Linked DNA regions of Rhinolophus ferrumequinum. The protein of the gene in region 2 purifies or fractionates together with the protein of the main gene of each other region. This does not show direct contact. Links are inferred from orthologs where the notes say so. Each region holds a gene or a part of one and is shown on either strand. Other genes may lie near its edges.

Region 1 (7,159 bases), on a different chromosome or scaffold from region 2:
TCTTCGTCCCTAGGGTACAAAATCAAAGACGAGCAGACCAGTTGAAGAGTTTGGAAGTTACAATGGATCTTAAGGATCGAGAGTAGATTTTATTCAAGCCAAGATGCCTAAAATCCCTACTCTCTCCAACTTACTGTAGGTTGATATCTCGAACAAGAGGTTCAAATTTGGGGCCTCCAGGAATGGCCATATTGAGTGCCTTGGACGTAAAGAAGGCCTTCAGATCAAACAAATAGAAGTAGTTGTCATCTACCAAGTCTGTCAGGAGCTGATTGGCCAGGCGGTAGAGAGTAGACATCATGGGCAGTGTGAACTGCCAGCGCTGGTAAGTAGAGCCATTCACATACCTAAGGGAAAAAAGACAGGCCCACGTCAGACAGGTATACCAGCTAGCCAAGCCACACTACCAACTGCTCTCTCAAGACCCCTGGACTTCCAAACCTCTCACAAGAGTGGTAATTACTCCAACCACACTTACTTCCTGCTATCCCTCAATGGCTGGTGGTCATAGAACCAGTCCAACACCGGGGCGTCCTCCTCAGGGTCCAGCTCTAGCTGAATGGCCTCCAGCGGCTCAACATCTAGGATGTTGTCAGCATAGTCCAAAGGTGGCTCCTCATCATCAAAAGGGGGAAAACGCATCCTCTTGAAATGCCTCCTGTCTCTTTTTTCTCGCCGCATCATAATCCACATTGACCTGGAAGCCAACAATGTCACACAACGGTTTCTACCCAATGCCTCCCAACCACCACCACCACCACCACACGCCGTATTCCGGCCCTTCTCACCCCCACTGGGAGATGTAGACAGGTTCAATGACCCAAGGAATCTCATTGACAAAGGAGATGGCTCCAGTGATGTGGTATAGTACAGGCACATCCCGAATCTGCTCCCAAGGCATAGGCATGTTCTCCAGGAGTTTGAGGACTGCATGGGGCATGTACTTTAAGGCACTGCAGCATTAGGAAGAGATGATTAGAAATCACAAGATGTTCTGTTACCTGTTCCACGAAGAGACGCAACATGGTATCACAGTATCATATCCCACAGAAAATTCTGCCTTACAGTCCAACTCCCAAATTTAGCACACAGGCCCTCCATGACCAGGAACTCTGCCCCCACCGCAACTATGCCAGTTTTAAACTTCACAGTCCCACAATACTGGGTTTCAGTCCCTCTAAATCTACAGCTCTCCCTCTAAAGGCAGCTTTTAAGCTGTCTCATTTTCTATTCTCTCTGTACTTTCCCATAAATAATAAAGTATTCAGATACTTTACTGTAACCGTTTGTCTCATGTCTGTCATGCCACTAGACTATAAGCTCCAGAAAGACTACCACTTCCTGTTCCCTGCTAGGTGCTCCCTTGCACCTAGCAGTTCTCAAGAAATAGTTCTGAAATAAACAAAACTTCCATGGCTGTCTTAGACTAGTTCATTAAGTAGCTAACATTTTTATGTCCAAATGGGAAAGGGATTTGCTACGGCATTTGTACTCACCCAGCTCAGACCACAGACAAACAAGAGTATAGAGACCGCAGGAGTTAACTATTCCCAAACCTGAGAATTCTGGTCACTGAGGAGTGAGAGGCAAGAAGAATGCACAAAGTGTCCTGTTCTGGGCTTCAACCCATTCAAAGACAGGGACATCTTAGCATAGTACCAACAGCACAAATTAAAGCTCCAGTCCCAGATCAGGAAGTAAAATCTGGACCATAATTGGAAGATCTGGAAACTATCACAGGATCCTAGTGGTTTCCTCTCTTCTAATCATCAAGACAGGCTGTACTAGAAGATTAACGTCCCAAATGATAGAGCAGCTATCCAGGACTACAACTTATAGGACAGAGAGAAGGGAAAGGGGCCAGACTCCAAAAAAAAAAATTCCAGGATGTTCTTTACCCCAAGTAGACCCTTTTGTCATGGCGAAACTTCCTGTTGGTCATGTCTCCATGGTCTCGAATAATCTTCCTGACATGTTCTGGGGGCATGTCTTCCTTCTGAGCATCCACAAATCCAAACTTCCGCTTTTCCGCATAGCGCTTGGCCTGTAATTGCTGCCATTTTCGGGCTACAAAGATACCTCAGTTTAAGGGACTGAACTCAGGTAAGGGACCCTTAGCCTACTCCTCCCCACCTCTTGCCCTAGGGTAGGCTCCCGTCAGGATGTATGAAAAAGAGGCCAGCATCCAGAAAGAGATTCCCAGCCAATTCTCTCATCAACTCGCTCTGCTTTATTTTTTCCTTCATCACGTTATCACTGCCTAGCATTTCTATTACAGATTTTTAAGTTTTTTATTTTCTATTTTCTTCATTGCAATTTAAATTCTGTAAGGGCAGGGATTCTGTCTGCATCGCTACTGTTATCTCCGTTGTTTGGATCAGTGCCTGCAAATAACAGACGCTCTTCAAGACCCGATCAGGTGAAAAAATAAATGGGGAGGGGGCTAAGAACCGCGCTAACGCCTAATGTTTTGACACCTGCCAAAACAAAGGGAAAGGGTTCAAACCCGATGCGCACGCGCGCACACCCGTCCCTACATCTCCGGGCCCGTAGGCACCGCTCCCGCATGCGTTCTTCACCTTTTTCCTGCAGCTTCTCCTCCGACATGTAGTCCGGCAGCGGGGCTAGAGGGCCGGGTACCGGGTTACCCGGCCCTCTGTAAGGAAAAACTCCGGCCATGTCCGGAGAATCTGGGGGGCGGCGGAAGAAAAAAATTAAGGAGTAACAGGGCCGGGGCCTACAAGAGGCGCAGCAGGAACGCGTCGATACCCGCGGCCTGCAGTACCGCCTCGCTCAGAGTAGGCACGGCCCGGCCCAATCCCTCCCGCCGCTCAGCCTGACCCCACCACGCCTCCCGCAGCCAGCCCTTAAAGCCCGCTACGCACCCCTACAGCCCCCCAAACTCGCAGCCCGCCGCTCGCTGGCACCGCAATGGCGGCAAGCCTACGTCCGCTTCGCGTTCCCAACGCCGGGAAGTGCGCAACCCGGGTTCAGTAGTTGACCCAATAGGCGCCGAGGTCCTCAGACAAGTTAGAGAACTCACCAATTAGAGTTGCATATCGGGCCGGAGGGGGCGGGCCCATGGGCGGAATTATTAGAATGCGAGGGGGTGTGGTCGGAGCAGGCGCAAGCCCCGCCTCCCGCGTTTCTGAGCCTGCTTCTGGGCCCTTTCATAAAGCCTCGCGGTCTTATCCGCGACTGTCCTCTGATCGTGAGAAACCCAAGCTTCCAGAGTTTTAATAAATTTGTCAAAATCTGCACATTATTCTGTGTCTAGTCTCATAAATGTAGACTTGAGATGCAGTACTAGCTCCAAGTCATCCAGTCCTTTGTTCATTCATTCATTCAACCATCATATATTGAGTACCCACTATGTATTAGTGGGAATATAGCAAAGAAAAAGCCAACCTCACTGAGTTCACAGGGTAGCAGGGATGCAAACAAGAACCCAGGTTCTTAAGATGTGTTGTGATCGGAGTTCGGGAGCAGAACATTTAATCCTGCCTGCCAACATAGAAAAATAAAAGGTCTTGGGGAACAACATTTCTGGGTGTCTTTTCCCTTCCCTCTCCAGTCCTCTTTTCTCTCTTTGGCAATGATTACACTATGGAGTTTATATTGGACAGCCTATAAATGCTTCTTGAGTCCCTCAGGCTCTGCCTGAATTGCTCTCCATCTCCTACAATCCTCCTACCATCCTTGTTTTACTTCCCATCCCTCTTTTTTTTTTAAGATTTTTTTTTCTTTAATTGGGGAAGGGGAACAGGACTTTATTGAGGAACAGCGTGTACTTCCAGGACTTTTTCCAAGTCAAGTTGTTGTCCTTTCAATCTTAGTTGTGGAGGGTGCAGCTCAGCTCCAGGTCCAGTTGCTGTTGTTACTTGCCGGAGTGGAGGAGTCGAACCAGCAATCTTGTGGTTGAGAGCCCTTGTTCCAACCAACTGAGCCATCTGGCCACCAGGGAGGTGACCGGCAGCTCACTGACTTCATTCTAAATGCAGAGGACGCAGCTCGCTGGCCCATGTAGGAATCCAACTGGCAGCCCCCTGGCCCACAGCTGACATTCTAACCAACTGAGCCACCCGTCTGCCCTCCCATCTCTCTTGCTCCATCCTTTGGTAACAACTTTCAATCTGACTTAACACATAAATTTGTTTGAATCACACCAAGTTTATTGTGGAGAATGCAGAGGAATTGTAACCAATACAGCCTCTCAATCTTGTTGGGAATTTGGGAGTCAAAGGTAAAATAGAGAAAAATACAAAGGAAGATTCCAGACAAGTTTTGGCTGGTGTGGAGGTTCATACAGTTCAAAGAAGGGAGAGGAGCATTATGAAAGGTTTGATGGCAATGGGTAGATTTGAAGGATTGGATGGGGTAGAGAAAGAGGAAGGAAAAAGGAATCCCAGGTAGTAGAAACTGCTAGAATTAGCATTTAGAAAGAGGCACAAACATGGCATGCTCTGAAAAGAGCTTCAACCTGGCTGCAGTAGAAAGTTCAGCAGCATCATCGTGTTCATCATTGTTACTGTAGTGAAGTCTTTACCACCTGTAGAAGGTTCACTATGTACCAGTTATTGTTTTAAACCCTGGTAAAATCCTAATACTGTCTATAGTTTCATTAACACTATTGTACTGCTAATGTCAATTTGTAATCATGCCAATAGTAATGTCGATTTCCTGGTCTTGATTGTCCTACTATTGTTATGTAGGAACTTCTCAAGTGGGCAAAGAGTACACAAGAACTCTCTGTACTATTTTCGAAACAGCCTTATTGAAATATAATTGGCATTCCATAAAGTGCACCTGTTTAAAGTACACAATCCAATGATTTTTAGTATGTTTACAGAGTTGTGCAATTATCATCACTATCTAGTTCCAGAACATTCTCATCATCCCTAAAAGAAACGATGTAACCATTAGCACTCACTCCCCATATCCTCCTACTTCCTCCTCCTCAGCTCTAGGCAACCACTAATCTATTTTCTGTCTCGATAGGTCTTCCTGATCTGGACATTTCATATAAATGGCATCATAGAATAGTGGTCTTTTCTGACTGGCTTTTTTTTACTTAGTATAATGTTCTTGAAGTTCATCCTTGTGTAGTATATATACTCATATAACTTTTTTGGAGAAATGTCTTTCCAGATCCCTTACTCATTTTAAAATTGAGTTGTTTTTTTAAATTATTGAGTTGTAGGAGTTCTTTATATATTCTAGATACAAGTCCCCTGTCATACATATGATATGGAAATGTGTTCTCCCATTCTTTGAGTTATCTTTTCACTTTGTTGACGGTGTTCTTTGAAAGACAAAAGTTTTTAATTTGTATAAAGCCCAACTTTTTTTTTTAATTTATTGGGGTGACAATTGTTAGCAAAATTACATAGATTTCAGGTGTACAATTCTGTATTACATCATCTATAAATCCCATTGTGTGTTCACCACCCAGAGACAGTTCTCCTTCCAACACCATATATTTGAAGCCCAACTTTTAAAATTTTCTCTTCTATTGTTTATGATTTTAGTGTCAAATCTTAGAAATCATTGCTTAATCCAAGTCACAAAGACACAATCCTATGTTTTCTTCTAAGAGTTTTATAGTTTTAGCTCCTACACGTAGGTCTATGATTCACCTTGAGTTAATTTTTGTACATGATATGAGATAGGGGTCCAAATACTTTCTTTTGCATGGGGATATTCAGTTGTCCTAGCATCATTTATTAAAAAGACTATTGTTTCCCCCTTTGAATTGTCTTGGCTCCTTTGTCAAAAAATAAACTGACCATTTGTTTCTGGACTCTCAATTCTATCCCATTGATCTATAGGTTTATCTTTATGCTATCTGTGCTATTTTGTAACTTTCATGTGAGCCTAAAATTATTTCACAATAAAAAGTTAATAAATAAATAAGCAATCAAAGCAATCTAACAAGAGAGTTATTATTATTACGATCCCCATTTTACTGATGAGAAACCCAGGCTCAGAAAGGTGGAGTAACCTGCCTTGGGTCACATGATTAATTGCATGACACATGTGTCAGGTTCTGTCTAACAACTTTATATGTATTAGTTCATTTAATTGTCACAATGATCCAATGAGGTAGGTGTTATTGTTAGCCTCACTTTATAGGTAAAAAAACTGAAGCTCAGAGAAATTGAGCCACTTGCTCAAAGCCCCACAGACAGTAAATACTGGAAACAGTAAAAAATGGCTCTGGAGCTTATGTTTTTAACCATACTGCCATATCATCTTCTATGTTCATGCTAAGAAGCATAGATAATGTTGGATGGCAAAATTTCAGCCAAATTAAAGCTGGTCTTGAATTCCAAGCAGAATTTTGATATTTTGCCAATGATTTGACCTACTTGACAATGATTTCCAAGCTTTTTCTTTTATAGCTAGGAAACACATGTGCAAATGAAATAATTTACAAATCAAGAAACTAAAACTTAAAGAAATTAAGTACTTCTCTTAATGTCTCTTAACTGGTCAAACACAGTCTGTCTGAGTTAGTCTGACGAAGCTCAATTGAGGAGGAAAAGTGACCAAGCCAGGAAAATATCTGAACAGAAAACATTAACTGCCATTATTATGGACCATTCACTGCAGTCAAACCAGTCTCCTCATTGTTCGAGGAGTTTAAAACTGAATGTGGAGGTGACTGCAGGTCATAAAAATGAAGGAGTCCTCTGGCTAGAAATACAGAAGTGGCAGTCTAGGAGCTGAGATGAGGGCTTGAAGCATCAGACTAAATTTGATACTAAAGCCATGAGAAAGAGTCAGTTCACAGAAGAAGAATAACAGAAAAGCAGATGAGGAAGGCTTGAGATACACACAGTCTAGGATAAGAGGATGCCAGAAAAAGCCAGAGCAAGAACAGCTGGAAAGGTCAGGAGAGGCCCACAGGGAGGAAGAGCTTCAAGAAAAGGAAGCTTATCCAGATAATAGCAAGGAACAGAAAACAAAGATTGAGAGAGAAAGGAAAGAAAAGCCCTCTGCCATGTTAGATAATTCAAGGGGTAGAGGAAGACTAAGACCACAAGCTTGACTAGGAAGAATTCTGTGACTTAGGAGAGCAGTTTCAGAAAGCTAATGGCAGAGGAAGTTTCCTGGTTGCCAAGGAAGATCATGAGGAAACAGAAGCGATGGGAATTGA
Region 2 (7,200 bases):
TTAAATTAGTGGTCCCCAACATTGGCCCATGGAGCAGTGATGGTCCATGAAATCTTCATCAGCCCATGGAGAGGTAACAAAAACAAAAGTAACGAGTGTTTTCATGAAGCTAAAATTTGCAACTTAAAAGCACCAACTGATGAGATTATGTCCTACACTCTACTGGCATTATTAAACATAAGGTTCTTCGAAGACAAAAAAATAATTGTACCGTATTTCCCCGAAAATAAGACCTAGCCAGACAATCAGCTCTAACGCATTTTTTGGAGCAAAAATTAATATAAGACCCCGTCTTATAGTAAAATAGGACCGGGTCTTATATAATATAATAAACCCGGTCTTATATTAATTTTTGCTCCAAAAGACGCATTAGAGCTGATTGTCTGGCTAAGTTTTATTTTCGGGGAAACATGATAGGTGGTAGTTGTTTAACAACCTTGTTGGCAAAATAAAAAGTGGGTAGTCTGATGTTTATCTGTGCAATGTTTTAGGGAAATATTACTAGTCAAGGAATCTAAAATCTCAAGAACCACTTCTGAAGAACTTTTAGGCATTTTTCAAAGTTTTCCAGCCTCAGATATGGAGGCAAGAAGGGCCAACTTTGATGTCTTTGGATAATTCTAGAAATGTCATCTGTGACTAAATATCTTGGACTGTATCTGGTTGGAGCCCACCCTCAATTGCTCACAGTCAAACAGACTGACACCTACATGTCAGCGTCCTCGTCCCTTCGGTTGGTTTCTGCAGAAAATGACGTCCCCAGGTGGAGGTCTTCCTCTTCACTAATCCTAAAAGGAGAGGAGAGTGAAGTGGGCCTTCGAGTCACAGCTCAGGCTGAGTTTTATGTTATAGCAATAAGACAAATATGCATGTTTTATCATCCTGTTTATAGTGGGAAAAATATATATAGGATACGTAAATAAAATCAATATATGGAAGTGAACTGCTGGCCTCTGGAGATTCCTCTGGGGAATGAACAGATATTTTATTTTTTACTCGTGTATTGTTTGAATGTGCTATTTTTATAATTGTGCTTTTTTATGTTTCCTTAAAAAAGAAAAATGAAACATCCACATGGGTTTGAAAGACAAAAAAACAATGCACCTTTACAAAAAGAGTGTACCCACATCTCTCTATGCTAACTTTTAAAGAGTTTTTGTGTTCTTTCGTTTTGAAACCCTGCACAAAGCACAAAGGATACTTGAAGATGTCCCGCTAAAGCTACTACTGCAGGCCAGCTCTCTGGGGCACACAGACCCTAGCAGGGATACAGGTGAATCTGTATGTCAGTGTGTTCTGCACTTACTTATCTTTGCCCCTTTCCTTCAGTTTCTTCATGTCCACCATACCGCCTGTCTTCATCTGAAAGGGATCATCCTGCAGAACACAAACACAGCTAAGAGGAAACATCTATATATTAGGTTGCTGAAAAAGTAATTGTGGTTTTTGCAGTTATTTTTAACCTTTTAAACCACATTTACTTTTGCACCAACCTAATACTTGGCAGTGGATTTTTTCTTTTTTTAAAGAAAACACCATCACTCATTGAAGAGCATCCACATCTTCCCACTGCTCACGGAGGACCCCACAACTTACCACTAGAGTGGTCTCTTCTTGTACCTTCTCTCCCACCAGCAGGGCCACAGCACTGAGCAAAACCAAAAAGGGAAGGTGGGTAAAAGGGAAGGAATGGCATAGTTTAGAGATGTGGAAGAACGTTTAGAAAGTTTGTAGGTTGCAACATTAGTGCAAGGGTGAGATCTGAGGGATGGGCGCCAAAGCCAGCTGGAAAAGCCTGCAAGAATGAAATAGGGCTCAACAAGCACTTTAGATGCTGGGGGCGGGGTGAAGGGGTACACTTTCCTATAAAGCCATTTGGCATTATCTTGGCTTGGAAACATCAGTTCTAAGATTTTGCCTTCAGGGAAAATAAAGCTAAAGACAAATGCCGGAAGATAGATATTGCAGCCTTATTTGATGAAAGTTTACAACACAACCTACAGGTCCTCAAATAGGGAATGAGCTAAATTATGGGACATGCATTTGGTGGAATGTTATGCTGCCGTTAAAAAGGTTTTTGGGAAAATAATCCACAATGTGAGTGAATGTCCGCAATGTCATAGAGTTGAAAATAGCATATAAGTACCTACTACCCTTTACAAACCAGAGAAAGAATACAGATCGGAAAGAACATTAAATGATAACACTGGTTACCTCTGGGTGGGAGAATTACATTAATAGGTGCTATTTACTGACCCGTTTCTGCACCTTCAGAGCAAACCTGCAGACCACACCGTGCAGGGCATCTCCTGGTTAAATATTTTCAAAGAATGCTAGACCCCTTTCAGGGCAGTGGAAGGTGTACAGTGTGTCAAGAAAAGGGGCTATGTCTGAGGAGGTATGTGTGACAGCGACCGGGGCAGGGGCGTGTCTGTCATCCCTTGCTCCTCCAGGTTCCCCCGCGGTACCCACCTCACCCCGTTGGGCCGCTTCCTCAAGTTCTGCACCTCTCGAGTCTCTTCCAGTTTTAATCTGAAAAAAGGCAATACGCAGGCTGAGAGACCCTCCGCAGAACTCAAGAGTCAAAAAGCAGCTTCGACCCGTGCCCCAAGCCGCTGCTGAGCCGCGGGCACAGTGGTACGGAAGGCGAACCTGCGCCAAGACCCATCAGATCCACTGCCCATCCCGGAGACAACTCTCCTAACTGCGCGGCCTTGGGGGTGGCGACCACATCACTAGGACCCTCAACTTCTCCCGCGACAACAATCCCGGCTCATAGCAAATACGGTCAACGAGGCTCCTGGCCGGTGGTCCCCAAGTCGGCCTCTCTTTTCCTGCCCCGCGGAAACCCCGCCCCAAACGCACCGAACCTCCTCTGAGTCCTGCTCATCTTCCTCCGACTCCGAGTCGGCCCGGCGCCGGCGGAAAGTCTTCCCGGTCACCGGCATGACCGCGCCAGCCCTGCGGTCCAGCCGCTGCGCCGCTGCGCGAAGGCCTAGTATGCTTCCGGCGCGCAGCAGTGCGGTCAGAGCGCCGGCTCCGCCTGGCCCCGCCCCAAGCCCTACCTGGGCCCGCCCCGCCTGGCACCGCCCACCTGGCCACGCCCCCATTGATGGTGTCGGCGTCTTCCGATTGGGAAGCCAAGGAAGAGAAGGCGGGGCACGGCCAAGCCGGCCCCAGGACCCTGCGCGGCGTAGCGGAGGGCGCGTTTGACTGACAGGCTGAGGCGGCGAGGTAGCGACGGCAGGTGAGTTCCTGGCTGCGGCGGGCTGCTTCGGGGGGCCTGGCCTCTCGGAGCAGGGGCGACCCAATCCCTGTTCCGGGCCGGCGGGGGCCTGGCCCTGCCAAGTGCGCTGGACGCCGCGGCTAGGTGAGCGGAGCCCGGGACCCCCCGGACGCTGTCGCCCATTCCCCTCCTCCGTCCAGCGCCCAGGGGGTCCCTTGTGGTCCCGTCGCCCTACTTCGAGCTCCCGGGGGCTCGCTGCTTCTCCGGGACAGGGGCCGCCATGTCCTTTATTTCTGCCAGGGCCTGATCCAGCGTTGAAAGCACGCATGTGGCATTCGGGGCGCTGACTTATATTTCCCCGGGGTCTGGGCCCTGACGTGTTTTTTTCTCTTTAGGGACAAAAAGATGACCACTTATTAGCGGCGGTGAATTAAAGCCCCAGCGCCGACTGCCCCGCTAATAATGACCTCCAGCCACTTCTCCCCGAGGAGAGGCGCGTCTGATCTTTTGAACCCACTCGGGAGGGTTTTGAGGACAGAGGGCCCCTCCTCGGGTGCTTGCCGGCCGTCTCTCTGGACCTTCGGGGGCCTTGTTTTCGTCCTTTGTCACGCAGACTATCGCTCTACCTTTTGCCCCTTTTACCCCAGGGATGCTGTGAGGATTCAGTTTATTTGAAAAAAGGGCATAAACAAACGCTTAGGAAATAACTCCAGGCATAAATAGTGGCTTTGCTTTCCTCAATCTCGGCTGGTCCTTTCCTTTGACAAAGAATTAGCTGTTATTAAGCACTTACTCTGTGGCAGGTACTGGGCTAAGCATTATCTCATTGAACTCTCCCAACAATCCTATGAAGTAGATTCAGTTATTTTTCACTTTGCAAATGAGGATACCGGGCTTCAAAGAGGCACGTTTTGCAGTGCCTGGCACAGTAAGAGTTCAGTAAATGTTTGCTGAAGCTGCTGTTATTATAGCTCTTTGGCTGAGGGGAGGTACTGGTGGAGACTGTTTGGGGTTCCCTCTTTGGGAAGACCATTCGGAAGCTGGGCAGCATTTATGGAATGCCTTACTTTTCTCTGGAACAGTCTCCTCTGAGGTTGTTGTTCTCTCCCTTGGACTGAGACAAATAGTAGACTCAGGACTTCTTGGAACCTTTTGGCTTTGGTCAAAAGCTGCTCAGTAGCTGCTGTGTGACCTCCAGCCAGTTACACCACCTCTCTGAGCCTCAGTCTTTCCTCTTTTCGTGGTGGAGGTGGAAATGGGTTTAGCTCCCAATGTGGCCATCCCCCAGGGTGGTTATGAGGATTTAGTGAGTTCTCTTAATATCAGTTCCAGGATGCAGGGGCCATTTGGGTGGAGGCAAGGTGGGGAAGGCAAATGAGGAGAACTGGAGATGCGTGGGAAGCAGGACTTGCCAAGGCAGGAGGTGCCTGAGGGTTCTCCTTTGAGAATCAGAAGGATGGTGGACCCTCAGTGAATTAAGACTGGGTTAAAAGAAGGAATGTATTTGGGATTTAGGGAAAATGGAGCTGCGTGGAAGTCTACTGGAGAGAAGAGGGCAGGAGGGAGGGAAAGGGTACATGTTCTGAGGGGCAGAGGGGTGTGGGCGCGGGTGTGTGGGGTGTGGCAGGGCTCATGTGGTGAGGATCAGGGCAGGTGGGTGTCCTTATGTTAATGGGGGGTGTGGCAGTGTCACCTTTCCTGTCCAGAGGAAATTGGCTCCTGGCTGGGAGGACGATGGAGCCAGAACCTCCAGGAAAATGATGAGTAATGGGCACCTGAGGCCTGGTCTCAGCAGCTGGTGCCAGGCCCGGATATGCTGCCTGCCTGCCGCGTCCCTCGGGAGGCACTTTCCTCCTCACTCAGTGAAAGCCCCAGGGAGGGAAAAGTGCCTGTCCTTATTCCGGATGAAGCATCTTGGAAGCCTCACCCGGTCCTTGAATGCACGGGCTCTTTGCCAGACCTGCCATCCTGCCTCCTTTCCTCCTGCTTGTTCATCCCCAAGAGAGGAGGCGGGTCTGGTGGGTCAGGAGGGAGATGTGCTCTGGGATGGGTGTGGAAAAAGCCTAACTCCTTTGGCTGGCGATTTGGGCACCAGCTGTGGGGCGGGCACCGCACAGACTCCCGACAGCACAGTCATCCAGCTGCTCTCGAGAGGTCCTGTTCCCAGCATCCGGTTCTCTGAGGAGTGCAGGTTTCTTCCCCTTTCAGTCTTATGAAACGCCTACTATGTGCACTCCATTTATTTGCACAGAGGGAAGGTTGGGAAGGGCTATGAACGCAGATACACCTGGCTTACTTCTAGCTGTGTCCCTTTCTGTGTGGCTTCCCATCTCGGAGCCTCCATCCTTCCTCTCTAAGATAAGAAATAGTGGTCCTTACCTGAGTGTAGGGGGACCACTGGGCATAGTGCCTGGCTCAGAGTAGGCGCTGGATCCTGGAGCTCTGTTGTGGAGTTAGGGTTACCTTTTCCAAAAGACCCCCTCCCTGCTTCCACCTGAAACAAGAGGAAGGGAATCTTTAAAAAGTTTCTATTTAAAACAAAACAAGGGGGCCAGCCTGGTGGCTCAGGTTGTTGGAGCGCCGTGCTCCTAAGCTGCAGTGGATGGTTCGATTCCCACATGGGCCAGTGAGCTGCGCCCTCTACAGCTAAGATTGTGAACAACGGCTCTCCCTGTACCTGGGCTGCCACGAGCAAGAGGTCCTTGCCATCTGCTATGGGCTGCCCTGGGCTACCATGAGTGGCCGGCGGCCAGCATGAGTGGCTGGTGGCCGGCAGACGGGGAGAGGTGACCGGCGGCCGACTGCATCAGCGGAGGGCGGAGGGGAGCGCAAAGCTTTTAATACCAGCATGTCCCAGGGAGCTGTGTCCTACACACCTAGACTGAGAAACGATGGCTTGAACCAGAGTGTGTGTGTGTGGGGGGGAGGTGAAAGAAGGGGGGGAAAATAAGAAAATAAAAAATAAAACAAAAAAAATCAAACTTACAAGAATAATAATGAAATCCCATTCATACGAGTCACCAATTATTATTTTTGCCGTTTACTCTTCCTATATTTATATGCTCAGAATCATCATCATTATTGCTGATCCATTTAAAAGTAAGTTGCAGATATCATGACCCTTTCCATCTAAATATTTCAGGTGGAATAATCCAAGAACAAGGATATTATAATACACAACCAGAAAACAATTTTCATCTTCAGAAACTTGAATGTTGATATAATACTGTATTCGTGTGCTGGAGCAGTCATAACAAAGTCCCACAGACTGGGTGGCTTAAACATCAGAAATGTATTTTCTCAAAGTTCTGGGGGCTGGAAGTCCAAGGTCAAGGGGTGAACAGATTTGGTTTCTTCTGAGGCCTCTCTCCTGGGCTTGCAGTCAGCTGCCTTCTTGCTGTGTCCTCACGTGGTTTTTCCTCTGTGCATCCTCATGCCTCCTGTGTGTCTAACTTTACTCCTCTTACTATAAGGATATCAGTCAGACTGCATCAAGGTCCACCCTAAAGACTCATTTGAACTTAATTCTTTAAAGACCTTATCTCCAAATAAGATTACATGCTGAGGTATTGAGGGGTAAGGACGTCGTCAACATATACATTTGGGGGAGGGGACACAATTCAGTCCCTAACAAATACTATCTAATATCTAGTCCATATTCAGATTTGTCTGCTGTCCCACTAATGCCCCTTTTTCCCGTTGATCCAGGATCCAAGTTTGTCATATCTCTTGAGTGCCTTTTATCTGAAACAGCTTCTCATCTTGTACTGAGAAAGAAGCAAGTTGCTGGCAGCAGAGGTGCTGGCTGCCTCAGGACAGGAAAGCTGTGTAAGGATTTGCTTCGTGTCCTGGGGCCACTTTCCCTGGTTTTACATTGATGTCAGAAGTACCAGGAGGTGAGCTTGGATCTCAGAAAGTAGCACTGTGAATCAGAACTACCATGCATCAGTCGCCTGCTGTGTGTCACACCTGGT
Region 3 (7,409 bases), on a different chromosome or scaffold from region 2:
CAACAACTACTGAGTACCTACTGATGCCAGGCACTCTTCTTGGACTAAAGGAGAGAGTGGGGGGGCGGGGGAGGGAGGGCCCTGGGAAGCCCCTGAGCAAGCGTTATATCTCCAACCATGGCTGCCCCCTCTGAGCGCATCTCCACATTCTCTCCCGATTCTGGGACTTTGCCCAGGGATGTCCTCTAGAGGGCGCAGGCTTGCTGATCAGTAACCCCGAGGCTCTGCATGCTTAGCTGTTTAGCTGGTGCTCACCTGAGGCAGGACAAGGATAGTATGCGTCTGTGGGCCACATGGGATGGAGAGGGCAGAGAGCCCTGAACCTGGGCATCAGATGGCAGAGTCTCCGCATCCCCCACCCCCACCCCCACCGCTACCCGCAGCAGGTCGGTCGTCCTCTCCAACTCCCCCCCAAATGTGACAGCACACTTTCTATGCAGCAGGTTCTTTTTACAATCCTGGTAAAGAAGCCACAGAACCTCCTTCTTGCCCTTCTCAACCTGAGAGCTTCCACTCTTTCTGGGTCAAGAGCCGGAGTGGCTTCACCCTCTCTGGGCTACCCAGAATTTGGCTCAGGCACCCCTGTCTTTGCTGGAACCAGGCATCTGAACACACTGGACATCCTTCAGAGGGAGAATATTTTTTTCTGGGTTCTACACCTGCCTGCAGACCCGGGGTGTGTGGCTTCAGTGCAGGGATGAAGTGACCCGGCATAGCTCGTGGGCCAGCCAGGGTTGGTGGCAATCTCCGTCCCACAGATGTTCTGACTTTCCTTCCATGGAGAGGCAGGCAGCGCCACCAGGGAGGAGGGGAGCTGCAAAACTGAAATCTAGGACACTGTTTCTCCCCATCCTCCTCTTCATGGAATATAGACATTTGTCTTGTCTGTCTTCAACCTACTTTTCTTTTTTATATTTCTCATCCTTTCTGTGCTGCCTTTCCACCCAGGAGCCCATGTAGCATAGTGGAAAAAGTCCCAGAGGGCAGTCAGGAGTTCTGGGCGGCCATTCTGGCTTAGCCCCTAACTCACCCTGTGACATTGAGCTAGTCCTGTGCCTCATCTGGGGCCTCTGTTTCCCCACTTGTGAAATGAAGAAGATAAACCAGATGCTCTCCAGGGTCTTTTCCCCCCTCTGCCATCCTACAGATTTTCATTTTATTTTGCTTTCTCAGAATCTTTTCAATCTGAGGGTACAGGAAGTGCCAGGACCTGTCTCAGTTTTTGAATCCTGCAAGCACATTCCAAGACTGGCCTGAAATTGCATGAGCAACATCACTCCAATTTTTTTTTTTTCCAAAAGCTCCTTACCAACCAACTGAGATGCTGTCCTGTTCCTTTTTATTCACACCCCTCTCTCCTCTCTGGTCCCCGCGCTCCCCCACCTCAGTGCTCCGTGCTGTATGCGTGTGCTCTCTGTTCTTGTATACTCAATAAAAGTGAAATAAATGTGTTTGATGCTGAACCACAACTGCCTTGGCGCACATCTCTCTCCCCACACCTCCCCTCTCTCTCTCTCTCTCTCTCTCTCTCTCTCTCTCTCTCTCTCCATCTTTCACTACCAGTACAAGTTCGCATTTTGAGTAGAGCTGAAACTGGAGTGCAGAGATCCCAACCTAGAACACTTTCATTCAAGAAATGTTTGTAGCTCCCAGTGTGGTCCAGTGCTTGCAGTAGGCTTTGCAGGTGCAACAGCAAATAAGACAAAGTCCTCGTCCTCCAGGAACCCAGAGGCTGGTGGAGGAAACAGACAACACAACAGGCAGGCAGAGACAATACCCGAGTGAGGCATGGGCACCAGGAAGGAAATGCACATGGGGGGATGGTCACTGAAGGAGACCATCTTCAATAAGGTGGCCAATTACAGGCTCCCTAGGGAGGTTATATTTGTGAGCTGAATGAAGAGAAATATCCAGGAAGGTGAAGAACTTGGGCAAGAGCCTTCTAGGCGGAAGGAACAGTAAGCATGCGGGGGTGCCCCAGGACACGGGGGCTCGGTGTGTGCAGGAACAGCAGTCTCTCTCCTCCCTGAAAGAAGAGCACCTACCGCAGGGGCTCTTCCTGCACCCCTGCTCCATGGGAGCCTAGCGGATAATGTATACAGCCACCCTCCCTCAACTCCAGCCTTGGCCCACTGCCTTCACACGTGTTGCCGTATCCCCATATGTGCCACCTGGCTTGTTACTGACTTATCATTTTTCTTTAAATTGTGTAAAAAAAAATGTTTATTTAAAAAAGAAACTATATTACTTCCACAAATGGAAAACTATTGTCATTTGCCAAAGAAAGGAGGTCTTCATAAAAAGAAATGCAAAAATATTAAAAGTAATCCATGTAAAACTTAAACTCACCCCTTGGACTACCTGAGGTGCACGCACCAGCACTTTCCTTTTTATTCCACTAAGCAACTCACACCAGACTGCCTTTCTTTATTGCCCAAAATTTCACAAGCAAGAACACCGGTAATCATTTGGTGCATTTTCTTCCAGACTTTTTCCACGTCCAAGTATTTTTTCCAGATTTGAAGTTACCTTGTACATACCATTCTAAATACTTTTTAAAACTTAAATCCCGAGCACTTCACTGTAATTTCAAATACTAATACTATTTCTTCATTAAATTATACAGAATGCTATGCAGTGAAAAGCAATTCTTCAACCCTCTACAGACTCCTGTCTTGCCAAAGGCAATTCCTTCCAGGAGCTTTGTTACTCCTTCTCTGAATTTCCCCAGGTTTCCTTTAGCTATCTGTCACACTTGGGGTTCTGCAATAGGATTTGGTTTGCAAACATTGGGTCCCCACACGTCTTGGATCTGTATCTCTCTCTCCCATAAATACAGAGCCAGCCTCTGTGCTGCCTGGGAGTAAACTGTGTGTTTCATCTGTATCAGTGGTTCTTAACATGGGTGGGGGTGTGTGTGTTTTACCCCCCAGGGAACATTTAGCAATATCTGGAGACATTTTTGGTTGACACACTGAGGGGTGCTACTGGCATCTGCTGGGTAGAGGCCAGGGGTGCTGCTAAACATCCTACAATCACAGGACAACCCCCATAACAAAGAATTATCTGGCCCCAAATATCAGTAGTACCAAGGTTGAGAAACCTAATCTGGATGGACATAGGACCCACAAAGTGGGGTTTCCGGGACACCATCCACAGCTTCCATGCCCATAGTATAGTACCCTGGAGTCTCTGAGATGATGGCGAGCCTGGCTGGAACAGAGAGGTCTGACAACCAGACCAGAGAGCTCAGCACCTAAGACTGGGAATAGGGAGGGGCGAGGAGAGAGCTGAGCTTCTTCATGCCGGAAGTGGACCTGACACAACAGGCTGAGATTGGCGTCCATGACTGTAACTAATGGAAGCCATCTCTGGTTAATCCTGCAGCAGCTCATTGTGATTAACCATGACCGCAGGGTCCAGTCTGGTCTATACCCACTAAGAGATGAATTTTGACTGAGACAGATTGGCGTGTCCAGCTGTCACTGAGGAAGTATGACACACAAGCTAAGGAGTAGCAGCACAAGGACGAGACCTGGGTTTGCACCCTAGCTCCACCACTCTGACTGTGTAACCTCTCTGAGCCTCAGTTTTCTCTTCTGTAAGTTGGGAATACTAATACCTGCTTATTAGGGTATTGTAAGGTTTAGAAATCATATGCGAATGGCCTGCCCTGTGGATTTTGGACTTACGCAGCCAGCCCTCACCATCACATGAGTCAATTCCTTGCAATAAGTCTCATAATATATATCACCTATTGGCTCTGCTTCTTTGGTTGGACCCTGAGTGGTACAGCCACTCAGCACAGGGCGAGGCCCCAAAATAGAAGCCATTTATTAATACCAAATTACTGTCATTAATTAAATGCATAATATATATACTGAGCTGAACCTTTGTGCCTATTTTGTGCTAGGTTCCGGGGAAACAGTAGAGAACAAGACAGGCAGGTAACCACCCTCAGGGCACCGATATAGCCTGACTGAGTTATCAGCTAGGTCTGTCCTGCCAGAGGATATTGGGTGATTACGGATGGAGAGATTGACACGGTGACTACTATGGCTGAGACTGGTTCTCTCTAGTTTGGGAGCTGGGTTTCTAAGGCTCTCTCTTAGTCCTGAGTGTGGTTGGAAGCTGAGACTGGGTGATAATAAGCCAGCTGTGACACTGTCACTCAGGTAGAGATTGGCTGACCAGGACCATGACTGAGCATCTGACTGTGGCTACTGAGCAGCCATGACCTTGACCCCAGCTTCAGTGACCAGGACTGAGATCAAAGGACCATGGCTGGTGGATGTGTTTCTGGAGCGGGATATAAAAATGCACAGTTTGACGAAAGTTGTCATCCACGGCTCAGGAGCTAAAACGAGTTAACGAAAAGCAAAAGGTTTTATGAGGCGGAATCTGCAGGCGCGGACCGTTCCTTCCGTGACCAAGAGCTCTGCCGGGCCGCTTTTCCCGTGGCGCTTGTCCTACGCCTAAGCGGTACAACTTCCGGGGCGTTTCCGCTGTGTCTGCGCGGGGAGTGAGACCGAGGCTGGTGAGTGCGGTGGTTTAACTCCTCTGCTTCGTTGTCATTTGGCGGGGCCACCCCTCTGTCCCGCTCCGGATCACGGAGTGCCCTGAACTAGGGCGTCTCGCTGGGACAGCCGCGTCCCGATCTGTGGGCCAGTGGTGGGACGCCGATGTCTCTGCAGGCCTGTGCCCGAGAAACCGTCGCCAGTACTTCCTAGAGCACCCGGCGTAACTTCCCTTTTTTCTTAACTTTAGAACTTGGGGGCCCGACACATTGGCTACGTCCGACGTGATTCGGTCCGATTCTCTGTAACTTAGGTAAGGTCTTTCTCCGAACTGAGCCTTTGTTTCTCAACTGCAAAACGGATATCATGTTTTTATTATTAAAGCGTCTAATATGTGCTAGAGGTACAAAAAGACTGAGGTCTCATGGAGGTGACTGACAGCCCTCTATTAAATGTAGGCAAAATTGCAACCTTGATAAGTGAAATGAAAAGGCACAAGACGCCATGAGTGGATCACACAGGAAACCTGATCTAGCCCAGCGTCAAGGAAGCTTGACCGAGGAGGGAATATTGAGATCAGAAAACCGATTTGACAGAGAGGGGAACGAAGAGTTCTCTCTCCAGAGGAGCCTCCCGTTTGAGTGTCTGAAAAAGATGTGACTGGAACAGAGGGCTTGGTGGGGGATCGTGTTCTGAAACAAGCGTAAGGAGTTGCCAGGAAGCAGACCATGCACGCCTTGGAGGTCATGGTAAGAATTTTGGTTCTCCAAGAGCCACATGGGAAGCCACTCACAGGGTATTAAGTGTGGGTGGTGACATGCTTAGATTGGCATTTTGTAAAGCTCACTCTGGCTGTTGGATGGAGAATGGATTGGAGGGGCAAGCACTCTGGGTGAGGGATGTGGTAGCTTAGATTAAGGAGGTGGTGGAGAGAATTGGGTAGATGTGACTTTCTGCATTCCAGGGCTGCTTCTCTGTGCCAGGACATGTGTCAGCTGCTGAAGATATAATGACTAGTACAGGCTGGTGGAATTAGAACAAGAGGAATGTCATTATCAAGGAGGAGCATACAGGTGCCACTACTGTAAGGGAAAGTAGCTAATCGATGAGCACTTACTCTAAAAGCAGGAGCTGTTCATTTAGCAAATATTTATTTAAGTACCTTTTGAAATCAGGTTTGGGAATAGGAAGATGATGATATATAAATTATTTAGAACAGTGACTTTCAGACTTTTTTGACTGTGACCGATGGGAACAAATACACTTTACGTTGCAACCAAAAGGACGTACAAACCCACAAAGCTTCAAAAAACAGTGATTTATACTACACCCGCTGCGCTTTGATTTTTTTTAAAATTCTGTTCTTTTTGTTTTAAAAAAATTAATGCTGGTTGAGACTCTCTAAATTGATTTCTTGACCCATTAATGAGGTGTGACATGAAGTCTGAAAAAAAAATGCTGATGTAGAATGAGAGTCATTTGTAGTGTTTTTTAAGTTAAGACGGTAAAATAGGCCCTTAACATTTTTGGAAAAGGGTTAGTCTTCTGTTCCTCACTGTTTTGTTTGTTTAAAAGAAAAAGTAAAGAGAATTAAACAGGCAGTTGGTTCTTCTGTTTATGAAATTTTGGGCTCTTGTTCGTATGTCTGGCTAGATTGGAAGTACCTACAGGACAGTGACCGTCTTCCACTGGATGTTTTATTAAGTGCCTGGTAAAGATCCTGGCACAGTGCAGGCATTTAGTGATTATTTGTTAAACTGAATAGGTAGGTGTCTTAGGACTAGAAGGTTAGATGATTGTTTGGTTTAAGTTAGTTCATGTTGGAACCAGTCTTATAAATAAATACCACGCAGGCAGTGTTTGTCTGCCTACAGAATTTTTACAGTGTGTCCTCATGGGTTGTCCAGAGGTAGGTAAAATAAATGTTCTGAGCTCTTTCTCTTCTAAATACTGGTCCTAGGCCAGCCATGCCACCTGAATCCATTCTGGGCTAGTGGTCCAGAGCTGCCACTGACTAGGCCCTTTGAGAAGTTGTTTCACTCCTTGGACTTTAGGTTTTTATGCATAAAAGGAGAAGGGGAGGTTTGTGGTTAACAGACTCTTCACCTCCCCGATCTAGTGTGAATTTTAGATGCTGAGCATCCACTTTCCACCTCTGTCCATTTCTGGGCCTTCCCTGAGGTTTGTGGGAAACTGGGTGTATGCTTGATTTAATCATCCTTTTCAACTCCTGGGTTTCTCCAGCAATAGGTTAGGCAGAGTTATAGGTTAGAATGGACCATCCAGGCTTTCTCCACCTTCATCTTCTGTTGGGAGAGTGATCTGAGAGCAGATCCTAAGTGGACAATGAACAGAACACTGGCCTGGAGGGCAGGGTACCCAGGTTCTAATTTGTGTGACGTTGAACATGTCACTTCTCTTTCATGCCTTTGCAGTTATAAAGTGAGTGTTCTTGCTCATTAAACCAAAACACGAAAATCCTCTTCTCTCTTTCTCATTTTTCTCATGTATAAAGCTGATGTAGGGTTGTGTGAGGAGATAACTTCTGGGAGATAATTATGTCAGGAGTCTAATTCAGTATCTGACACATAGAGAATGCTCAGCAAATGAAGTATGCTTCCCCAACTTCTGATGAACTCTGATTTCTTTCTTTTTTCAGCTATTCTGAAAGACAAGAAGGGTTCTCCTTTTGGTCACCCACCACTGGTCCATGGCTGCTACGCAGATGGATCCTGAACTTGCCAAGCACCTCTTCTTTGAAGGGGCCACTGTGGTCATCTTGAATATGCCCAAGGGGACAGAGTTTGGCATTGACTACAACTCCTGGGAGGTGGGGCCCAAGTTCCGGGGTGTGAAAATGATCCCACCAGGCATCCACTTCCTTCACTACAG
Region 4 (7,630 bases), on a different chromosome or scaffold from region 2:
AATAATACTTTTTAATTTTAAAATAATTTAATACCAGAAAGTTGCAAAAATAGTAAAAATAACTTTATTTTTCCTAAGTTATTTGAGAATAAGTGGCTGACACAATGCCTCATTACCCCACTACTTTAGTGCAGGAGTTGGCAAATTATAGCCTGTGGCTAAATCTGGCCTGCTGCCTGATTTTATAAGCCCCCAAGCTAAGAATGCCTTTTACATTTTTAAATAGTTGGAAAATGAAAAATTTTTTTCATGATACGTGAAAATCAATCCATTGTATGAAATTCAAATTTCAGTATCTACAATAACTGAAACACCGTCAGTTTGGAACACCGTCACGCTCATTCATTTATATTGTCTACGGAGGCTTTCACACTGTAACAGCAGAGTTGAGTAGCTGCAACTGAGCCCATATGGCCCAGAAAGCCTAAAATATTTACTTTAGAAAAGGTTTGCCAACCGCTGCTTCATTGTGTGTGATTCCTACCAACAAGGACACTTTCTTACATAATCACAATGCAACCATCAAAATCAGAAAATTAATATTGACACATAACCACCACCTAATCCACAGACCCCCAGTCAAGCTTCACAAACTGTTCCAATAATGTCCTGCACAGCAAAGGATCCCACCCAGGATTGCATGCTTGCATTTAGTTGTCACGTCTTTAGCTTCTTTCACTCTGGGACAGCTCCTCAGTCTTTCCTTGACTTTTATGACTCGACCCTTTTGAAGATTACAGGCTAGTGAGTTTGTAGAATGTTCCTTGAGTTTGTCTGATGCTTCCTCATGATTAGATTCAAGTCATGCATTTCTGGCAGAAATATCACAGAAGTGATGCTGTGTTCTTTTTAGTGCATCTCCTAGTATCACATGGTACATGATTTTAATTTGTCCCATTAGTGGTGATGGTAATTTAATCATTTGATTACATCGGTGTCTGCCAGGTTTTTCTATTGGGAAGTTACTCTATTGGGAAGTTTTCTCTTTGCAATGAGTAAGTATTTTGTGGGTTTTCTCCACTTCAATTGCTGAAATTCTATTCAAAGCACAGTTCCAATGCCACCTCCTTCAAGCTTTCCTAGATCCCCAATCTCTCACTCCCCTATGCCGCTACAGCCTTCTGTACCTTTATCAGCATTGAATTGTTTGGAGTGGTAGTTACCTGTACCAATTACCCTCAGCAACAACTCTACAGCTTACAAGTAATAAACAACAGACCTGAGCACGAGTGAAGGGCCTGGGCTCTGGAATGGGAAAAGCTGGATATGAATCCTAACTTCGTCATTTAATAACTATGTATCTTCAGGTAAGTTACTTCACCTCTTTAAACCTGTTTCCTCAACTGGAAAATGGAGTGACTAACTCCCGTTGCATGAAAGGTTGTGAGAATTAAACAAAATAGTCTCTGTCAAGAATTTATCCGAGTCACAGGCTCAATAAATGTTAGTTAGCATTATGTTTTGGCCATTCTTAAACACAGGAATCCTGTGTTCCGTGTGCCCACTGGCCAACGTACCTTGCGGAAGTAGGAACGGGATAAATGTTAAGTGAATGCAATGTTTAATTTTGAGATACTGTTATTTCTTACACTAAGTTAATTCCTCCACCTCCCTCAATGCCACCTGTTGAGTGCTGGTTGTAGATAAAATAGAGAATTAAGAGCTCCAAGGACTAGTACCGTGTTTCCCAGAAAATAAGACCTAGCCGGACCATCAGCTCTAATGCGTTTTCTGGAGCCAAAATTAATATAAGACCCAGTCTTATTTTACTATATATTCTTATTTGCTTATAGTAAAATAAGACCAGGTCTTATCTAACATAAGACCTTATATTATATAAAGTCTTATATATAAGATCTTATACGTAACATAAGGTCTTATATTAATTTTTGCTCCAAAAGATGTACTAGAGCTAATGGTCCGGCTAGGTCTTATTTTCGGGAAAACATGGTAATTAAATGTAAATTATTATGGAAACTTTCACGTGCATATTCTTTTTACTTCCAAAGAGCTGTCCCATCTGTGCTCATTTCATTCTCCTAAAACTCATGAAGTGACTGAAGAAATTTTTATAGAAGGCTGTTCCGGGGACAAACCAAGCTCCTTCTGCTTCAGGGCCATTGTACTTGCTATTCTCTTCTTAAAGGCTCTTGCTTTGGATATTTATACCTTGTTCCTTCATGTCACTCAGGTCTCTACTAAAATGACACCTTCTCTGAGAAACCTTCCCTTGCCACTCTAAAAGAGTCCCCCATACACATACTCTCCAACTCCCACCTTTACTCTTTTGTTATTATTAACATTTATCACTACCTGAGATATACCTAGTCATGTGTTTAACGTCATCTCTCCAACTACAATTTAAGTGAGGACTGTTTTATTTTTTCCCCTCCTTCACTTAGAACGGTATCTGGCACAAACAGGACCTCAATATTTGTTGAGTGAATGAATGACTCCAGCCAGGCACAGAGAAGAGGGCTGACTTGCCCACAGGTGCACAAAACTAGTGACTTGCGGTACCAAACTTCACTGCGGCTTCCCGCTATAATGCAGGCTCTCAAAGGAATACAGAATAAGGACGGAGGGAGCTGGGCAAAGGAGTGAAGAAGGCACGGATGGAAGAGGGAGTGAAAGAGGGGGGCTGAACAGTGAGAACGACCCCTGCCCACGTAAGGGATTTTACGGATGGACTACACTGAGGGAACCTCGGGATCTGAGTGTGTGTGTGTTGGGGAGAAGGTGTGTTTCATTCCCTTTCCCGCTCCACGCCTCAATTTACCGATCTGTAAAGTGAAAGGGGCAGATCCTCCAGATCTGACATTATGTAATTTCCCATCCCACCCGGAGCCACCTCCCCACGCCGCTGACCCACGCCAGCTCACCTCCCGCCTGCTCAGCCAGCAGCTCCCGGTAGGCCGCTGCCCCGCGCTTCCGCCTCACACGGCCGCCGCCTGCGCCCGCTGTCCGGAAGGACCCCGAAGCCGCCGCGGTCGCGTTTCTGCCGCGGAGGGCAGCCCTCTGCCTGAGGACCAGCTCGGAGGAATGCCGACCGCGGACGCAGGAACTGGCAAGGTGGACTCGTGGATCCTCAAACCAAGGCGTGAGCTTTTCCAAATTGAATGAGGCTTGAGGAGGCTTGAATCTGATCAGGCGCCTCGGGACCATCCTGAACGGGGGCCTTCAGGTCGATCACGTGGGCAGACTGTTGGAGCAGTTGCTGGGCAACCACAGCTGCTGCGGGTGGTAGGCTAAGCTACCTTGTTCCCGGCGTATCTGGGGATCCCCAAAGAAAGCAAGGGAACCAAAGCCAGGGCTGCTGGGGTGAAGGTCAGAGGGGCGGTAGGCTTAGTTGTTCTATTTATTCAATGACTGGGTAGGGCTCAGAACTGGACAGGAGCCGGACACTTGAGTTCAGTTCCTGGCCAGCCCAGCCCACTTCTTGGTGTTCAGCTTACCCACGTTGAGGTGGAAGGGGAGGACTGTGGGGTTGGTTGAAGACCTCTCGGTTCTTTGTCCTAAGGCTGTTGATGACTCCACCACAAAATCTAGCTCAATGCACCAGGAGTCTGAGGTTCAAAGGGGTCTCACAGCAAGTAAACGCCAGAGCCAAGACTAGAACCCATTTAGGTGATCTCCCTATAAAACGGGTCAATCAGCCTCAGATACGCGGAGACTGCAGAAGTACAGTGATAGAACTAAAGAGGTCGCCCAAATATCTAGGGTCCTGTGATCCAGCCCTGGACTGGATGGAAAGATTTGGGGACAGGGATCATTCAGCCCCTTCGCCTGCCACTTCTACTTGTTTTCCTGCTCAGTCCTTGCATCTGGCTTGGGTGAAAAATATCCTTCCCCATTAAAGACATTTAATTATGGATGAAATTGTATCCCTGGGCTCAAGAGTAGCTAACAATAGTTCTGCTTTTGTGCGAGGTCTTCTTTCATAATTGCTATAGAGTGAGACCATGTGGAAGAGTGAAGGGACTGAATTTTGAGATCCAAATGCTTCCTCAGCTGAAGCACCAATAATAAAATATTTTTAGAGGCAGAGGACAAAATTAACATTGGGCTCCAAATTGAAATTCAGGACTCTACTCTATTTTGAGTGACAACAAGTCTTAAGTAAGTTCTCACTGTGTACGTCAGCTCCGCTCACTAGAGAATCAGATTTTTGTAACACCCCCCCCAACATAAGTGACAAGATATCCAGAGTGGTTTTTGGTTATTTTGTGGCCTGGCAAAGAATCCAGATGCACACTCTTCCCCCTATTATTGATCCTCCATTGATGTCCATTCCCTTTGCCTTCCCAGGCACAGGCCATGGAAAGGAATGACATCATCGACTTCAAGGCTTTGGAGAAAGAGCTGCAGGCTGCACTCACTGCTGATGAGAAGTACAAACGGGAGAATGCTGCCAAGTTACGGGCAGTGGAACAGAGGGTGGCTTCCTATGAAGAATTCAGGTTGGCTTAATGCCATTTTTCAGACGCTCCTATTATGGTGGACTTTAGTGGATAAGGGCACGTACTTTGGTGTCAGACAATTCTGAGCTCAGCCCTGGCTCTACCCTCTGCTACCTGTGTGGTCTTGTGCAAGTTATTTAACCTCTCTGTGCCTTTATGCCTTATCTGTAAAAGAGAGTAACCATTATTATGATTAAATGAGTTATTATATGTAAGATTTTTGAGCACGATGTTTGGCACATGGGAAGTGCTTAAAAGCTGTCAGCTATTGTTGCTGTTGTTGTTATTGTCATACTGGCCTGCCAACAGATTCAGCCAATATCATGCAAAGTCCAGCCACCTCACACCCACAGACACCATTAGGTCCATCCCCTAATCTCTGTCCTTTGTCCACAGGGGTATTGTCCTTGCATCACATCTGAAGCCACTGGAACGGAAGGATAAGATAGGAGGAAAGAGGACCGTGCCTTGGAACTGTCACACTACTCAGGGAAGGACCTCCCTGGATGAAACCACTGAGATCTGTCAGGTCGGTGAGGCCCAGCAGAATTCTCTGCCCTAAACCTCCAGTCCTATCCTCTTACAACACGTACCTTTTCCTTATTTCTCATGTTAAACCAACAGAGGCAGGTTTCTGCCTCCAATCCCAGAAAGGAAAGCACCCAGCAGATGGTGGGGTTGAGCTACATTGGGCAGAACAAGTCAGGAAGGTGGCCAGGCCACGCAGGTCCCCTCCAGGCAGTCCTTTGACTTGCATGCACAGATCAGATTTGGGGTGCTCCAGGTTATATGGTATATAGTATAATGGTCCTGTGGCAGTGTTGGGAGGGCGACCCAGCCTGTCAGACCCTTAACACTCACCTTGAGGTTTTCAGTCATCCCTTCGGCCCTGCTCAGAGTAAACCCTGACTTATTCTCACATTCATCAGTAAGAAAATCCTGGTACAACTAAGAATCTCAAATCATGGCCTGGGTTCTTTGGGACCCTCTCTCCCTGTTCCACCGCTAGTTTCCCTCATCTGAGAATGAGTCCCCCAGCCACCACAGCCTTCCCAGTGCTCAGAGAGCAGTACCAGAGCTAAGGTGAAAACCCACAGGCTTCCCTCACTCTTACTGTCGCAGAACAGCTGGAAGAGCTCTGAATTCCCTTTCCTTCTTTTGTGAACTAGGAGAAAACACTGTTGCAGCCTGAGACCTCAGCAGAGTTCTACCGTGATTGGCGGCGATACTTGCGGAGTGGGCCAGAGCGCTACCAGGCACTGCTACAGCTCGGGGGTCCCAAGCTGGGACACCTCTTCCAGACAGATGTGGGATTTGGACTTCTAGGGGAGATGCTGGTGGTGCTGGCTGATCACGTGAGGCTGGCTGACCGGTCATTGGTGCTAGGGATCCTGCACAGCCTGGCCGGTACCGGGCGCTTCACCTTGAACCTGAGCCTGATGAGCCAGGTGGAGAGACAGAGCTGCAGAAGCTTGTTTCAAAAGCTGCAAGCCATGGGCGCCCCCAGGCCCGTGAAGGAGGGGCTCAGCCCGGAGGAGCGGGGTCTGGAGCAGCCTGGTGGGCTCCAGGAGGAGGAGAGGCTCCTGCAAGAGCTGCTAGGGCTGTACCAGGTGGATTGATAGGACCAGTTACCTTCAGAGGTCCCCAGTGGTCGCTGGAGGCATTTTTTGATTGTTGTCTTGGGGTTCTGCAGGACTGTAGTAAGAAGTCCACACCTAATTCCCTTTCAACCTGGAATTTTCAGAGTAAAAGCCCGAATTCAATCTTTCCCTCTTCTGCAGCCCCTCGGTGGCTCGATACTCTAAATTGTGTGGGTCCACAGGATGGTCAAGGGCCCAGGAAATTAAAAGAGCTTTGCTTCCTGCCCTTAGTGTTTGCCAAGGCCGTGGCCCATAGCCCTGAGAGATGGGCACGTGCCCAACCAAATGCTGGCCACACCAGTTAACAGCCTCCACCCAAGAAACGAAAAAGCAAAATCATTAATCTTCCATGATGAAGAAACACTGGCCTCCATAGCTCTTAACGAGACTGTTTATAACCTAAAACCAATGAATGGACATTTAATTGACAAACGGTCACGGTCAAATGCTATCTCATCTGAGGCGCGGTATTTTATCCCAGGGGCTGAGTTCCTGGGCAGATTGAGCCTGGAAAAGCCCCACGCCATCAATTTAAGTCTGGCCAGCCTCCCAGGCTTCTTCAGATGGCCAGATGGGCAGGTGGGTGGGTTTCCTTCAACTCTGGGATTACCCAAAGGGAAAACCTACCCACCAGGCAGGCGGGGCAGGTCCTGGAGCAGGGAGGCAGAGATTTCCATCTAGCCCCTGCGCCCTGCTTCTCATTCCAGTTTCTCCTGACCCATTCTTGGGTGAGTGTCAGGGTTCTAGAAAGGAGAGAGAAGGCCAGGTTCTAGAATGGTTTTCCCTTGAGATCACATCTGTCACATTAGAAGGGCATCTCGTACATCAGCTGGGAATCGGTTGCCTTGCCTTTGGCCACTTCCCCTGCAGATGGTTGCTTTTCTTGGCGGCTTAATCTTTTCTTAATATAGATGCCTCCTCTGGCAGTCATTTCTAGAAGCCCCCATACGCCTTGAGTGCCTTGGTTTTGCCCTACCCACTCTGAGCCTTCCCTCGTGCACGCATGAATCTGGCCCACACCACTGTGCTGCTGTGGGCGTGGGGGAGTCTCCAGGCCTTTGAAATCGTGGAGAAGGAGAATATTTTTCAGAGGACCCCTTGCCCCGCTTTCCTGATGTTCGACAATGCAGCCTACCTGGCCGACATGAGCTTCGAGCTGCCCTGCCACTGCAAGCCCGAGGAGGTGTCTGCGGTAGTCTGGTACTATCAAAAGCATCTCGGTAGCAGCCACACCAAAGTGCTGACGGATTTTGATGGGCGCGTTCTGACCGAGGCGGCCCAGGTCCGGGTGGGCAGTGACATGCTGGTCCGCTTCAGCATTCGCATGTTCAGCCTATTGGTTTTCCGGGCCCAGCCCGAGGACTCAGGCTTGTATTTCTGTGGCACCCGCAAGGGGGACTACTTCTACGCCTACGATGTGGACATCCAGAGCAGTGAGGGAATGGTGGCCACCTTCAAGGACCAGGGCCAAGAGCCCTTTGCCGACGACTACTATGGGAGCCTCCACGTCTTCACCACCTTCTGGGAGTG

Evidence for each region.
Region 1: the proteins of C12H9orf78 (region 2) and PRPF8 purify together in Homo sapiens (affinity purification with mass spectrometry; 4 studies listed by BioGRID and IntAct, with this or other methods). This does not show direct contact. The link is inferred for Rhinolophus ferrumequinum from reciprocal best matches to the Homo sapiens genes C9orf78 and PRPF8.
Region 3: the proteins of C12H9orf78 (region 2) and AAR2 purify together in Homo sapiens (affinity purification with mass spectrometry; 3 studies listed by BioGRID and IntAct, with this or other methods). This does not show direct contact. The link is inferred for Rhinolophus ferrumequinum from reciprocal best matches to the Homo sapiens genes C9orf78 and AAR2.
Region 4: the proteins of C12H9orf78 (region 2) and EFTUD2 purify together in Homo sapiens (affinity purification with mass spectrometry; 3 studies listed by BioGRID and IntAct, with this or other methods). This does not show direct contact. The link is inferred for Rhinolophus ferrumequinum from reciprocal best matches to the Homo sapiens genes C9orf78 and EFTUD2.

Annotation. Positions count from the first base shown.
Region 1 is NC_046304.1:16,246,126-16,253,284, reverse strand, and holds the start of PRPF8 (pre-mRNA-processing-splicing factor 8), read right to left. Parts: upstream 3,016-7,159; 5' UTR 2,886-3,015; intron 2,691-2,885; 5' UTR 2,680-2,690; coding exon 2,580-2,679; intron 2,068-2,579; coding exon 1,899-2,067; intron 954-1,898; coding exon 789-953; intron 698-788; coding exon 479-697; intron 348-478; coding exon 135-347; intron 10-134; coding exon 1-9. UniProt on the Homo sapiens protein: Plays a role in pre-mRNA splicing as core component of precatalytic, catalytic and postcatalytic spliceosomal complexes, both of the predominant U2-type spliceosome and the minor U12-type spliceosome.
Region 2 is NC_046295.1:78,220,633-78,227,832, forward strand, and holds the start of C12H9orf78 (splicing factor C9orf78 homolog), read right to left. Parts: upstream 3,003-7,200; 5' UTR 2,949-3,002; coding exon 2,866-2,948; intron 2,533-2,865; coding exon 2,473-2,532; intron 1,649-2,472; coding exon 1,597-1,648; intron 1,378-1,596; coding exon 1,307-1,377; intron 789-1,306; coding exon 711-788; intron 1-710. UniProt on the Homo sapiens protein: Plays a role in pre-mRNA splicing by promoting usage of the upstream 3'-splice site at alternative NAGNAG splice sites; these are sites featuring alternative acceptor motifs separated by only a few nucleotides. May also modulate exon inclusion events.
Region 3 is NC_046306.1:19,429,973-19,437,381, reverse strand, and holds the start of AAR2 (protein AAR2 homolog), read left to right. Parts: upstream 1-4,401; 5' UTR 4,402-4,537; exon of another isoform or gene 4,538-4,830; intron 4,831-4,975; exon of another isoform or gene 4,976-5,266; intron 5,267-7,176; 5' UTR 7,177-7,227; coding exon 7,228-7,409. UniProt on the Homo sapiens protein: Component of the U5 snRNP complex that is required for spliceosome assembly and for pre-mRNA splicing.
Region 4 is NC_046304.1:39,769,667-39,777,296, forward strand, and holds the start of EFTUD2 (116 kDa U5 small nuclear ribonucleoprotein component), read right to left. Parts: upstream 3,004-7,630; 5' UTR 2,883-3,003; intron 1-2,882. Other genes in the region: CCDC103 (coiled-coil domain-containing protein 103), read left to right, coding at 4,318-4,460, 4,857-4,989, 5,630-6,079; Ig-like V-type domain-containing protein FAM187A, read left to right, coding at 7,104-7,630. UniProt on the Homo sapiens protein: Required for pre-mRNA splicing as component of the spliceosome, including pre-catalytic, catalytic and post-catalytic spliceosomal complexes. Component of the U5 snRNP and the U4/U6-U5 tri-snRNP complex, a building block of the spliceosome.